2 linked regions of the Rhinolophus ferrumequinum genome follow. The main gene of each other region encodes a partner of the protein of the gene in region 2 in a complex. Links are inferred from orthologs where the notes say so. Each region holds a gene or a part of one and is shown on either strand. Other genes may lie near its edges.

Evidence for each region. Proteins that work in one complex are often made in the same cells at the same time.
Region 1: NDUFAF1 (region 2) and TMEM126B share a complex: the UniProt entries of both Homo sapiens proteins name them as parts of the mitochondrial complex. The link is inferred for Rhinolophus ferrumequinum from reciprocal best matches to the Homo sapiens genes NDUFAF1 and TMEM126B.

Annotation. Positions count from the first base shown.
Region 1 is NC_046294.1:58,590,490-58,598,127, reverse strand, and holds the start of TMEM126B (complex I assembly factor TMEM126B, mitochondrial), read right to left. Parts: upstream 3,007-7,638; 5' UTR 2,991-3,006; coding exon 2,910-2,990; intron 1-2,909. Other genes in the region: DLG2 (disks large homolog 2), read left to right, coding at 4,976-4,994. UniProt on the Homo sapiens protein: As part of the MCIA complex, involved in the assembly of the mitochondrial complex I. Participates in constructing the membrane arm of complex I.
Region 2 is NC_046289.1:63,892,192-63,899,313, forward strand, and holds the start of NDUFAF1 (complex I intermediate-associated protein 30, mitochondrial), read left to right. Parts: upstream 1-4,108; 5' UTR 4,109-4,499; intron 4,500-7,122. Other genes in the region: RNA polymerase-associated protein RTF1 homolog, read right to left, coding at 3,756-3,950. UniProt on the Homo sapiens protein: As part of the MCIA complex, involved in the assembly of the mitochondrial complex I.

The sequences.
Region 1 (7,638 bases), on a different chromosome or scaffold from region 2:
TTGCAGAACAGTGAGAGAAAAAAAATCACAAAGAGGGACACTGTTCCAGGCTAGGAAGAGGCAGTGGATCATGGCTACCTTGCATTACATGAGTTACATATCCAGCTCCCTAGTAGTACCTGGGGTGAAAGCAGGGCCTTTCCTGGAAATTGCTGTGTGGTATACCGGTGAGTAGGGTCTCATGGCACTGGACACCAGGGTTGGAGGTTCCTGTGTCCCAAATGTGATATATGAATAGGTGGTTGTCAATGTCAAGGGACCATGAGGATTTGGCCAGTACCATTTTCACAGAAACCAGTGGTAAAAAAAAACACAACACCCTGGATCCTCAGAAAGGATCCTTTCTGAATGTTTTGCTCTGGGTAAGACTCTTAGATCTCTGTGAAAAGTCTTAATAACATTAAATTTTTTGCCACACTAGAATTATGGGATTCCAGGTTAGCCAATGAATAGAAAGTTCATTCAAAGAAAAGTGTATGGCCCGTCACAATTTATACCAATCTCCATTTTTACATCAAATTTAGTTAATGGCATAGACTAAATCTCAAATTTCCGGAGTCCCAGGCAAGAAAATTAGAGTGGATTAAGTGCAATGAACACAGAAGTTACTTAATAAATCAGTGATTTTCAACCTCTCCTGTGCACAAGAATCATGTGGGGAGTTTATTTGAAATGCAGTCTCTTGAGCTCCCACCTGAGATATGTGGATTCAACAGGAGTAGGGTGAAACTTAGAAATCTGCATTTTAATAGCACCAAGTGATTCTGTTGCTGGCAGTCAATGGACACATGTTGAACATCACTGTAATACTCATTTGCTGAATAAGCTGAGGTCAGACAATTAAGTTTGTGAACCTGTTGCAAAGATGTTGCTAACCTTTTTTGATTATCAGAGGGATTATTTATTAGGAATTTGTATCAAATGGGCAATCAGTTAACCAATTTTACTGTTTGGAAGTGCTGAAAAGGCTTCGTGAAAAAGTTAGATGACCTGAACTTTTCACCAACAATTCCTGGCTCTTGCATCACGACAATGCACCAGCTCACACTGCACTGTCTGTGAGGGAGTTTTTAGTCAGTAAACATATAACTATTGGAGCACCCTCCCTACTCACCCGATCTGGCCCCCAATGATTTCTTTCTTTACCCAAAGATAAAGAAAATATTGAAAGGAAGACATTTTGATGACATTCAGGACATCAAGGGTAATACGATGACAGCTCTGATGGCCATTGCAGATAAAGAGTTACAAAATTGCTTTGAAGGGTGGACTAAGCACTGGCATCAGTGCATAGCTTCCCAAGGGGCGTACTTCGAAGGTGACCATAGTGATATTCAGCAATGAGGTATGTAGCACTTTTTCTAGGATGAGTTCTTGAACTTAATTGTCCGACCTCTTATGTACCAATCCTAACCCTAACTAATGAAAGGCCAATTCATCCATGGTATAAATATCCTGAAGATATGGGCTCCTTTGGACATTTGTATGGTATTACACAGTGACTAATTAATAATGACTTAGTTTCTTTCCTTGCATCATTTTAGACTGTACTCAAGCTACTATGTTTCCCCAAAAATAAGACCTAGCCAGACAATCAGCTCTAATGTGTCTTTTGGAGCAAAAATTAATAAGACCCGGTATTATATTAATTATATTATGTTGTATTATATCATTATACCCGGTCTTATAGTAAAATAAGACCAGGTCTTATTTTTTGTTCCAAAAGACGCATTAGAGCTGTTTGTCCAGCTAGGTCTTATTTTCGGGGAAACATGGTAGTTCTATCTTTTTCTTTAAAATATCTGGGGAGGACAGGGAAAATTTTATTTTTTTTTACAAGTTACAGTTTCTCAGGGACTAGATTTAATCTTTTGCCTCGGACATCTAAATGGAAAATGGAAGAGAAGAGATAGTAACATCTGGGGGGAGGTTCTATATCTAATGTTCTATGAAGACAGAAGTCAGTAACATAATTAACCAGAAACCTTGAATAAATTTTTTGTTTTGCTGTCATTCAATTCATTGAAGTCCCTTACTCCTCACAAAGAAAACTTTCAGGCTATGACTTGTATCAACCCCCTACCTTGTCTAGGAGGACACAGGATTATGAGCCTAAAATACTAAAACAGGACAGCAAATATTTATTGAGTGCCTAGTCTTTGGAAGGTACTGTTATTAAAACAAAAATATATGGATAGCTTTTTGATAGATTTTTGACAAGTATTGAAACAAAGATTTTTGCTATAACCAACATTTTATCTAAATAGTCCAAGGCCACTCAACTGGTCTCCATGATCATACCAGAAAGAGTGTATTTATGTAGATTTATAGTTTACAAAGTATTTTATGGTTTTGTAGTGCTTTTATGTGTACTATTTCACCTGACTTTCAGAATTTTATTCAACAATCTTCCATCATTTGACAACCCTTGGGATAATCAAGATGTAGTCATCCTCAGGGACACACAACCCAGACGGAGGTCTGGACAAAAAGGCAGGGAATTTAAACGCAGAGTGAGTATGCCATAAAAGCAAAAGCCAAACTTAACCTATCCAGGGTAAATGTGGGAAGGCTTCCCAGAGGAAGTGACATTTACGCGAATATCCGAAAGAGGAGAATTTGGCGCGCGCTGTGTGGGGAGGGAGAGATGCAGGGATGCCTTTCAAGTTGAAGGAAAGGCCAGTGCAAAGGCCAGGAGGCAAGAAAAATCAAGCAATCAAGACTGGACTTTAGGTCTCCTACATTCTTTCCGCCTCTTTCCATTGCAACTGGAGACTTGATTGAGCCCTGCATGGACCTGGGAGCTGTTCTCTTTAGGTATTCAAGCCCCTTATACATCATTCCAGAAGAGTCCTCCAACACTTGAGGCTACAGAAATCAGGGCCCATACCACCTGGGTTTCCGCCTACCTTGCGCACTTCCCCAGCTCCCACCGGCACCACACTTCCATCCCTCAGGTCAGCCCCAGCCTCACGCCCGAGCGCCGCCATCTTGAGGGCTCACGTGACTAGCGAGTGGGCGGGGACCGAGAACGCCGGGAGGGAAGTGGTCACGCCTCTCTCCCGCAGTCCCGGCCCGCCCGGCCCGCCCCGACTTAGTCAAAAGCCGCGCCCTCCATCCTGGCTGTGATTGGGTGCGGCTTCCTGAAATTACGGCCTCTCATTGGCTTCGAGGAGGTCCAGACTCCCGTAGGCCCGCCCCCCCGCCAGCCCTGCATTCCCTTCTTTTGCTATTTGTTAACCTAGCTCCCTCTTCTCCCATCCCGAGGGAGACAAGGGGCGGTCCGAGCGCAGGGATGTTACTGCGCGCTTTCCTCTCTTCTGGGCACCTCTGTTAGCTGGGGCCGAGCTGCCCGCCCCTCTCACTCCTTGAGGGAGCTCAGCCTTTGGCTTGGCCCAAGTGTTAAGGCTCTGGCTTCTCAGGCACCTCCTCCCCTGAGCCCACCCGGCCGCCAGGGCAGCCCCGACTGGCCTCCTCCCCTCGCAGCCGACTGACTCCTCTTCCTAATCTTTAGTGCCCTCATCTTCCATCCTTTCACTCCGCTTGGAAAGGGACCAGAGGGAAATTTGCCCCCTAATTCCCGAGAAGACCCCCGTGCCAGCCAGTGTCTCGGGGTGGGGGGCGCAGCAACGAGGCCTGGCGCCTTTCTGTGCACGCTCAGTGCCCAGCAGTATCTCCCAGACCAGCAACCCCCGACCCTCCAGCCTCCATGTCTTAGAGAAGCCAAATCCGAGAGTTATATAATTTCTAGTGCTGCTGTTTCTCCTGCCTGAGGAAACACTTCATCGCTTGGAGGGTGCAGGACATTTCTGTGCTCTTCTATATAAGAATGGGGTGTGGGTAGGGGTGGCCAGCGGTAGCACAGATTTCTTGTCTTTTCTGCACAAGGAAGGTGGGTAGTTTGGAGAGAGATTGAGAGAAAGGGTGGATGTGGAAGCCAAGCAGCCGAACACTCTCATTTAGGAAATCGCGAACTCTCTCTGCACAGCTTGTGCTCACATGCCTAATATTACTACAGCGTCTCAGAAAACACCTTTGCGGGAAGGTTTGACTTCTCTGGAGCAGTCTCAGTGTTTTTCCTCGCTGGATAGGCAGCTGCTTGGATGCGAAGAGATGGCATGATGTGAATGACTCCAGTGTGAAGAAATTTGCTTCGCCAACTCATCCTGCATCAAGTGCCCATTGAGTAGCACTGTCACTTTAATGTCTCCATGCCAAGGGATTGCTTTCCTTCTTTTCAGTCCTCTCGGTTAATACACGGGAGGATCAGAATCAGAGGGGCATTAAGGATCAAGCCTGAGGGGCTTGGACAACACAGAAGAAAAAAAATGAAAGTGACAGCAAGCTGGATCCTGTCTTACTGAGGGGGCGAGATCTGGAACTTCTGGTCCAGTAAATAGAAAGGGGCCTTTCAGTCTGTGTTCTGCCCCAGGAAACTCTTCAAACTCACCCACCTTTTTAGAGACCAGTCAAAGAGGTTTTTAAAAGTATTTTTATTTTTTGGAGGGGTGTTTAAATTTTTCTCTAAAGAATTGAGGATCTTTCTCATCAACCAGTTCATTTTTGAATTAGATCATGTATTGAGTAATGAAACAGCTTTGTAAATTTGGTTTGTGCCTTAATTGAGTTATTCATTGATCTTCAAAAATGTTGCTGCCTGAAGAGGAGTTTTAATAATATTTTCTATGCTTACAATAATTTTATTAGCTTTTTAAAAAACAGAATATTTTATAAAAATTGAAAAACTTGAAAAACTCAAAAGTTATTTTTCACTAAACTCTGTGGGCAATGTCAAAAGTTTAATTGTGGAAAAGATACGCTATTTTTTCTTTACCTGAAAGAAGACAGCCTGGATTTCAAAACTAAACAGGTGAAGTGGTTTGCAACAGTTACCTGGCTCTTGGCTTCAATCCAGTTGGATCGAGTTGAGACCTGAAAAGAGATCCTGCATCCTGTGACAGTAGAAGGACCAAGAATGCCAGTCAAGAAGAAAGGTGGGCTATGAGGCTTTTATATAATATATGTTTCTCCCTTTTCTTGGTTCTGGTATTTGCAATTTACATTGCATTCCATTTGAGAGTAAAATTTTGCTTGAGCTTGGGGAAATATTTATTATAATAATGTCTTTTCTGTGGCACATCGTTTAGTAATATAATTTTGCTAACGTGAAATGAAGTAGGACTATAGTATTTAATTATAGACATTGATGACTTCATAAATCAGGTTGTCTAAATCACCATTTATAATGAGGATAGATTTGGTACCATAGATTTGGGATTTTCTTCAGCTTGTTTTCTTAGCTTGTTAAAGGTCACTTTTAAAAATCTTTAAGAACGAAACTTGTACAGTGTTCTTCGGCATGGTTTTAGTATTATCAAGTGAATTACATGGTTGTAAAAGATAGCAGAACTGCACTGAAAAAAATTATAGATTTATTATTTATCTTTTGGTTGAAAATAGATTTCATATTTGGGTTTACTCTAGTGTAAATCTTCACTTTTGTGATAAAGGACAATTTGGGTAACTGTGTGCTTTTTCAGATGTATGCAATATCCAATAGCATGATTGGCAAGTTCTTCAAGTGAGGCAAACACCTGACTCCTACCACGTATCCATTCCTGAAATTGATCAAGAGCCAATGGGTTCCTGACATATAGTTTATTATAGTTCAGATCTTGGGATTTACTTTAGCCTGGATCTATCCCAGGTTAACTTGGTTCCTAAGGATCCTAGTGAAACAAGGGAAACCAGCCTTTTTTTTTTTTTTTGGCCATGTACAGAAGATCAGATCAACTATAGTTTTCTCGAGAGTTTTGAACCAAAATTTATATGAACACCACTGAACTCTACTATACTGAGCTAGCATAGATCCAAATATTGCCCAGTTATATGAGTTGCTACAACCTGAAACTAAAGTTCAGGGTGATGGTTAAAGTGTAGCCTGGCTCTGCATGATGTTGAATCCGTCTACCTGTGGATTTGGAAGGTGCATTGAGAAAACTTATGATCAGTGAGATGCTTTATCCAACTGTTGTCATCTGTAGAGATAGAAAATGATATTTAAAATTTTTGAAACACCTAGCAATGTCCTTTTGTACACTGGGATTTAAGGCTGGGATTATTTCCTTCTCTCATTCCCAGTCTCGCTCATTGTCACCGAGAGAAGCACTTGTAAACTCTCTATGAGATTTTGGAGCCACACCTGTCTAGACCTGACAATAGTGGCTTGTCTGGAACAAGAGTGGTTTTGGTAATGTAGCCAATAAATGATATGGCTCTTTGATTTATTTAACTTACAGTGTATTTTAATTCTTTCTACCATTTATTGTTCTCAAGACATTGTCCCTATTGGACTACTTTATTTTAGACTTATAATTGAATTAAACACATTGCGTGAGTGTGTGTGTGTGTGTGTGTGTGTGTGTGTGTGTGAAAGAGAGAGAGAGAGAGAGAGAGAGAGAGAGAGAGAGAGAGAGAGAGAGAGAGAGAGAGAGAGAGAGACAGATGGGGCCAGGGAGAGGGAGAGAGATATAAAGGGATAAAAGGGAATCTAGGAAGGAGGAGGAGGAAGTGCAATTGATATTTTAGGTGTAACTTAACTAAGCCAGTGATCTTAAGGTTTTTAAACCCAATAGACTGAGTCTCTTAAGAGTTCCTACCTTTAAAGGAAGTTACAAAAATTGCTGATACATTATTGAAACTTATACTTTATGAGAAGTAATTTAATTTTTATTTCCCTTTTCCCTCTTTCTTCCTTCCTCCCTCTTCCCCTCTTTCTTTCCTCCCTGCGTCCCTTCCTCCCTCTTCCCCCCTTCATCCCTCCATCCCTCCTTTTCTCTCTTCCTTCTTTAACAATGAATTGCTTGTAATGGATCAAATTTTTAAGGAACCAACAAGTTCTAATTAGCAAAACAAGTATATATTTGGGTTATACTAAAGTATATGCATATGTAATTTACTTTATGAACTGATCTCTTTAAATCTATTTAGAAAAACAATTTATCTTGTTTTTAATCTCTTAAAACCAGAAGTATTAAGATATATTTTTGAATCTTTACACAACTAGCCAAATAAATTGTGACATGTGCATTATATTTTTAATTGACTAAGCTTACTTTTGTACTATTTCTAAAATATAAGTAAAATCTAACCTAGATTTATTCTGCAGAGAGTACTATCCTCTGTCATCTTGAATCTTTTTTCTTTCTTCATTGTGACATCTGGTAGATATGATGGAAGAGCTAGATTAATGTAATTTTAACAATAAATATCTTTATTGAGCCACATGTTTAATCATTGTTGAATATGTTCGTGTTTAAATAAATTTTCATAGGACAGATTTCATTTGGTGTTTATTTTGTATGTTATTATAAAAGTACAGAGGAGGTTCTCTGGTTGGTAACATACAACCATGATGGGAAGTGCGAATGGGTCTGACATCTCATTAAGTCCATTTTTTTAGGCACTATTGTTGACTGCTCTTAGATAAGCTAAAACTGCTGTACCTCAAACCCCTGTACTCACTGCTCTTTTGCTTTATGACACAACTTCCTACCTCCTCAACCCCACTCTTCACATTTTAACAGATCTCAGTTTTATCAACAGAAGACTCTTTATTTCTCTGTTAGAGATTTTTTT
Region 2 (7,122 bases):
ATGGGGAAGGTTTATGGAAGGATACTTTGTAACAATGATACTTTTTTACATGTAATATCTAAAAATAATTCCTAAAAAGTACTTAGGGGGCCTATTCTCTCAAAGATAAATTTAACCATTGCCACTTCAAGTAGGATGAGCAGAGAAAAACAGGACATGACAACATAAGCATCATTTAAAATAAGAAAAGAAATAAACTCAAGTAATCCAATATGTATGTAGCTCAATTTTTTTCCTTGAAAAAGGCAGAGTAAAGTTTTCATAAATACTGAACTTTATCACTCTGAATAGAGAACTCTGATTCCTTTATTATCTTGGATGCTTTTCATTTTCTAGAACCCACTGCATAAATATTATTTCATAAAGAGTGACACATATTATCTCCATGGAGGCACATGATGGGGTAAAAAGCCTAGGTTTCCCTCAAATTCTGTTTTGTTTTTTTCCAAGAGGTGCCAAAGGCAAGTATCTTCATGATTTGCAATTTTAAAATGTTGAAGAAAGGGTGTGGCCAACATAAAAAGTAAAGTCACTATCAGGTCACATGTTAAAAGAAATTCTTCGAATTCTCAAAGGTTTGAGCTTTTAAAAGCACCGAAAGTTAAAACAGATTTTAAACAACTCTGATTTAGTTACTACATACCTCTTCCCATCAAGAAGCAAGGCAAAAAAAAAATACAAAAAACAGGCCTCAATAAAAAGCATCCAACAATTCAAACAGCTTCAGAGATCTAGAAGAACCACCAGCTTTGCCACCTTAAACATCTCTGTTAATTTCTTTCAGTTATACCTGCACACACTTCAAGACACGAAGTTATTTCTCTCCCAAACTACTTAAGAGTGTCCTGCTAAAAAGATCAGCATCAGAGGTGGTCTCAAGCATTAACATAATAAGTACCTGGGCTGTACCTGGTAAAAATGCAGAGTCCAGGGCTCTATCCCCTGAGGATCTGATTCAGTAGGTCTGGGATGGGAGCCCCTGCAAAGTACATTTTAAATAAGCAACCCAGGTAGCTTCTCACACAGGTGGCCCTCCTCCCACCACCAGAAAAAAACCACTGTAGAAGACTCACCTGCCTCACCTTCAGCAAGGACTAAGTTGATGATAATACTTCTGACATAATGGCTTAGATTCCCATCGGGAAAACCCAGGGATAAAGGACCTCCTATGTTCCACTCTCACCCTAGACACTCAGAGAGTTGTCATGGTTTGTTCTTTTCCCCAAGTACAATACACTAGACAACAAATACGATGCTATAATCCCAAATGAAGACCTAGAACTAGATGGAGCAGTCCAAGGCACCTTGGTCAGGAAAGGCCCAGAATGCATTCGTTTTGTTCTCAGGATTCTTAAAGACCCCCAAAGCAGGCTGACTGAACTTCTGCTAAAGATTTCTAGTGAAAACTTCTAGAGGGCAGAGATTTTTCTCTGATTCCTCTGACAGCCTGGCACAGTGTTGAACAGACAGGTAGATTGAAGGCACTCTGTTAAGATGTGCAGGGAAAGAGAATTTTGATCTGGTTCCCATCTGATAAAAGAATGACAATGAGTGGTTGAAGAGGAGGAAGTTGAAATTGCTGTTAAAATGTATTAGGTATTACTTACACATTTCATGCTAATTTCTTTTTACAAATAGAGTTGGGTTTAAAGTTGCAATCCCCTCCAATTCTTAACTTTGGAAAAGCTCTTTGTGGATCTCTCTACCACAAAAGGAAGCTCTCAACTCATTTCATTTGTCAGAATTCTGTGGAAAATCACTAAGGACAGAATAATCTGCTTATTTCATTCATCATCAGAACCGACATCTTGACAGTGCTTTACCAAGAAAGCCCCCCAAATAATCTTTATAATTGATGTACCAATTTTCTCTAAACTATTCAATGTACTTTACAAACATGAATTCTAGCAACACGGAAAATGGCCATAATACACATTCTCATTTTGCAATATGAAAAAGTAAAAGACTAACAGATTAATTGGAAAGAGTACATACGCCTTGTTGTTGTGCAGATTTGGGTTCAAATTCCAACTCTACCAATTACAAGTTGTGTAAATTTGATAAGTTACTTCTTCAATCTCCATTTTCCTCATATATAAAATGGGGAAAATCATACTTAACTTCATAATTTGAAAACTTGACAATTTAAATAAAGCACCTAATTAAGTGACTAGTTCACCCTAGGCACTATGTAAATTGTAGCCGATGTCATTATCGGAAATAACTACATTTCTAGATCAGAAAATAGTCAAAAACAAAAAAGTTCTAATTCTCCTAAGTGTCAGTCTAAAATTATCAACCAAACTTTTACAGTCAAGAATATATATTTTTTATATTTTTGCAAATTTCAAGAGCCTTTCATTGAGAATATTTTTAACTTACCTTTCAATCGTATCCCCAAACAAGATTTCTATCCCTTTGATACTTCTCCAAAGGCCCCATGACTTCCCCACCCCATACCATCATTTTCAAAATAACCCTCTTCAACACACCTCCAGCCCCTCCTCTTAAAGTCCTCCCCTTCCATGCCCCAATATTTTAGTCTTAAGACCTCTGGCCTAATACAAATGACGCCCAGGAAGCCACTACACAAAAGCTTTATTTGCAACTGCTTGTACCAACATTCTTACGTACAAATACTTGATCCTAACGATAGCACAATTATTGATAGATATACAAGGCTAATGTTATACCTAGATTTTACAGTTACGACCAAAGATATAGCTAGAAAACAGCATAGCCCATCCTAAAACTCAAATTTTCAGATTCCAAGTTCAGTACTCTCCCTACGCAACTTACAAAGCTACTACTCTTGTATATTCTTTGTATCATTTGTTCACAAAACACAGGGGAAAACCCTTTTTTGCATCACTAGAGCATTACTACAAAGACAGCTTCCTCCCTACAGTGCTTTTCTAGAGTATATAAACAGTTCAAGCAACCCCCCCAGGACATTGAGACCAAAAGTTACTTTCTACACTTCCTGCACAATCTTCAAGTAAGAAAGAATTCTGGGATGCTGCATGAAAACGGCTAAGAGATCTTAGTCTCAGTCCTTCCATATCGCCCTATGTACTGCTCCACTTCTGACCTCTTTCCTTCTTCTAAGAGTTTTCTTCAGTCTGATATCTCATCAGGGACCCTTCTCAACCACGAACGACCCTAGTTGCCAAAAAGATTCGTGCCCGCAGCTAAGTCTTCCTCGCTAAGCACCGCAGAGGGTCTCCGGAACATTTACGAATGCCCCTCCTCTCCGTCCACACTCCTTGTCTGAAAAACTTCATCTTCCAGAGTCCGCACCTTCTCGTCACCTACCCCCCCCAAACCCCAAAGCCCCACGCTCACCCCTTGCACCTCCTCCAAAACCTCCCAGCCTCTCAGGTTGGCCGGCGATACTTCCTACCTTTCCCGGCCCGGATCGTTTGGCCTGCAGCCCGCCGCACCAATCTGGTCCCGGTAGATGACGGACCCTTCCGATCCCCCGAACCCGAACCCGAGGCCCACCAGCCAGGTCCCTGCCCCGCCTCCCCGCCCAAGGCGCCAAGTCCTCGGGGCTCAATCTCCAGGCCCCGGCGGGACTCCATGGGTCCCGGGAGATGCAGGGAGGATAGGAAGGAGGCAGCAGCGGCGGTCAGGGAACGGGGCTGGCTAGGCACTCGGGTCGGGAGGCCCCGGGCCCGGCCGGCTCCCGGTTCCCGTGGCCCGGACTCAGCCCTCCCGCTCCGCCGGCCCGCGCCTCCGCGGCCTGCCCTCACCTGATCCAGGTTCTCGTCGCTGCCGCTGTCCTCCGTATCGGAGTCGATCACCACGCGGCCTTTCCGCTTCTTCACCATGGTGGTCCCCCGGCTCCCACGCCGGACGCCGCCCGGACTCCCCTCTAGCCCGCCTGCCAGTGGGACCGCCACTGCCGCCGCCACCGCCGCTCGACCCACACAAAGGCGACCGCGCATGCGCGGTCCGCTCCGCCCCTGGCCCCGCCCCCTCCCGGCGCACGCCGTTCGCTGGCGCTCGGCGCCCCGCCCTGCTCCGCCCCCGACGCAGCGTGGGAGGCGGGGCCCAGCACCGGGCTGGGTTCCCGGTAGCGGACCACTTTCTCTTTCCCCGCGAGGGCCTCTGGAAGGCTTGGGTGTGTCTCTGCTGCGGGGCCGAAGCTTAGTGGGCTGCCTACCTATGTCTTGGACTGGAGACGTAAGCATCCGGGTCCGCTCTGAGGAGCTTTTCAACTGTCCGATACTGATGGAGTGTGGAGGACGACGAGAGCTGCCCTCCTGGAAGACACAAGTCGCCTAGACCGCCCCAAGGGATGGAGGATGGGAGAAGCTTTCGTATCTCGGTGGTGCAAGTGACAACTGAGCTGGGACTTGAAGAATGCATCTGAGTTACCCAAAAGAAAAGTAAAGGGAAAGTTGTACCAAGCAGAAAACCGCGTGGGCAAAGGCCCAGCGATAAAAGTTGGGTTCAGGGAACTGAAAGTTCATTATGGCGGAACAGATGACATGGTGTGTGGGGATAAGGCTGCGGAGGGACACGGTGGCCACATCATTCAGAGCCTAATAAGCTATATTAGAAAGTATTGAGAGATTTAAAACTGAAGAACATAATTAGATTTGTGTTTTAAAAAGATTACTCTGCCTGTAGTGTGGCAAACGCATTAGAAGGGGGGAAGACTAAGGGCAGGGAGACCATTGAGGCTGTTGGTGTCATTTTAACAAGAGATGATGGTGTCCTGAACTAAGGAAGAAGCAGTGGAAATAGAAGTGGATGGATAATTCGGAATGTAGAATTACCAGGACTTGGAGATTAGTTGGGAGAGGGATAAGGTGAGCTCCCAGACACAAATGACACTCAGATTCTGCCATAGGAAGCTGGTGGTCAGTGGGCCCTTGGCTGAGACAAAGAACACAGGTGGAGGAGAGGTTTAGGAAGTGGATGTATGTGGGAAATAAGTTCAGTTTTATGCCTGTTGAGCTTGAGGTCAGCTCATAAAAAGGGCAGCTCCAGAAGTGATTTCTCTCTGGGATTTGGAATACAGGGTAGAGAGCATAAGCAATAACAACTTGAAACTGTTCTCAAAACTTTGGAGTCCATTAATTCTTTATTCTGGTAATGAACTTGGGAGTTAGACCCCAGTCTCTCCTAGGCATTACTGGGCACAGGCGGGCTGATCTCAAATCAGGCCCAGAGTTCTTGGTCTCTGGCTCCTTTTTTCTTTTCCCCCTTTACTGTGTAAATTATATTTTCTCCAGCAGGTTTACAATACATATCACAAATGTGCATGCCTTAAAATAGTAATAAAAGAAAATATCGCATCATACATAGAGAAACTCCTGGGGAAATAAATACATACCTAGGTATCCAGTTCGCTACCAGTTATCTTGAATAGGTGTTCATCATTCAGGTAGAAAAAACAACCTAAATAAGGCGCAGCTATCTTTTTACTCCAAAGGAGTTTTCCTAAGATATAACCCCTAGACTTCTCTCCCAAAACAATATCCTTGGAACTGAGAACATGGCCAAGATGATCCAAAACGACCAGGCCAGCTCCCCCATTTCTAGCCACCCTGAAGCCGGGTGCCCTTCTGTGAGGCAGGGTCCTCCTTTTGATGACCTGATTATCTCTATTAATTGGTTCAGAGTCTGAAAACTGGGTCAGATCTGAGAGTGGACAAAGGATGATCACTTTTTATTGGGGCAACTGCCCTCAGCCCCCTGATCAGCCAACTTTGATTTCTCCTGATTCAAAGTTGGAGAGCACCCTTGGCTATCCATCTATTTTGTCCTTGGGGATGCTATGTTCTGTTAACCATCTCCATAATTCTCTGAGGGTCAGGCCTCCTTGGTTGTCTTTCTGAGCTCTCCACTCATAATAATTGCATCTACCTGGCTTCTGGCAGTTAAGTGCTGCCACCTGACCGCCTGTGTCAAGGTCCTGTCACCCCATGACTGTGGTTAGCTGAGTTTTGTAACAACTTCTACTGTCAGTCCTGTCCTACATAGGAGAACCACTACTGAACTTTCAGGGATGCCTGTGCACCTTTTACCTTCACATTCCTGATGGCCTTGGTAAATGGAATATCCTGTTGGTCTTCCCATGGAACAATCATTTGGGGGGATTTCTGATCTTATATAGTAGATCCACTTTGTACTTCTCAGCTTTTCAATCCCGTCCTACACCATGTGCTTTGGCAACTCTGGCTTTTTTTTTTTTTTAACTTCATGTGGGCTGTAGAGTTTTCCATGCTTTAAGAGTCATTCTAGTAGCAAATCTGCACCATTTCCTGGGTCCTCAGCAGAGTGATAATTTCTGTGGCCCAGGAGAGTGCTCCCAATCAATAAACACTCCTTAATCCAATTTTACAATTTGGTCCCCTTAATTAAGCACTCTCAGAATCCAGTGTTTTGCTACTCTTCCAGCTTTTGCTATTATGTGCTTAGCTAGTTCTTGCAGCACCTTTAGGGTATAGTCCCTTTCCTCCCTTATCAGGTTCAATCTGTCCCCCACTGGGTTATGTAATGTTTTAATACTAGTTATTGGCCTATCCAGGAGGGAGGTAAAGGCAGATGCGGTCTTATTTGGTACAGGCCTCTGCACTGTCTAATAGCAAGATGGGAGAGCTGCATGGTGAGCCATTTCTGCAGGTTCAGAGGGCTCAGGAGGGTGATCATTCAAGATCTTCAGTGGCATCAATCATAACCCCAACCCAAATGTCTGTCTGGTCCCATTATTTCCCAACTAGGGCCTTGGCTTAGATGACCTGCCTGGCTTGGAAGTAAAACCTTATTAGAGCTCAGACTATTCTGATCATTGTCCAGGGCCTCAGTTTCCCCTGCCATCCCACTGCAGGTGTTGAAGCCCTCTTCATATGCAATTAAGGAGGCCCTCCGGCTTTCATACTTGGCTTTCAGTAACAGTCAGCCAATTCTACTATCATAGTTCCTATGCCCCACCCCCATATTTTTAAAATACCATCCCACCAGCTGGTACCTTCCTTTCCACCAGCATACTATCCCTATTCACCAACAATGCAATATTTAACAACTGGACCATCAGATCTTCATTGCTAGCTGTGTGCTGGGTAACCCAGCTTCTAAACATTATTTTATTACCTCCTTTCTCAGACC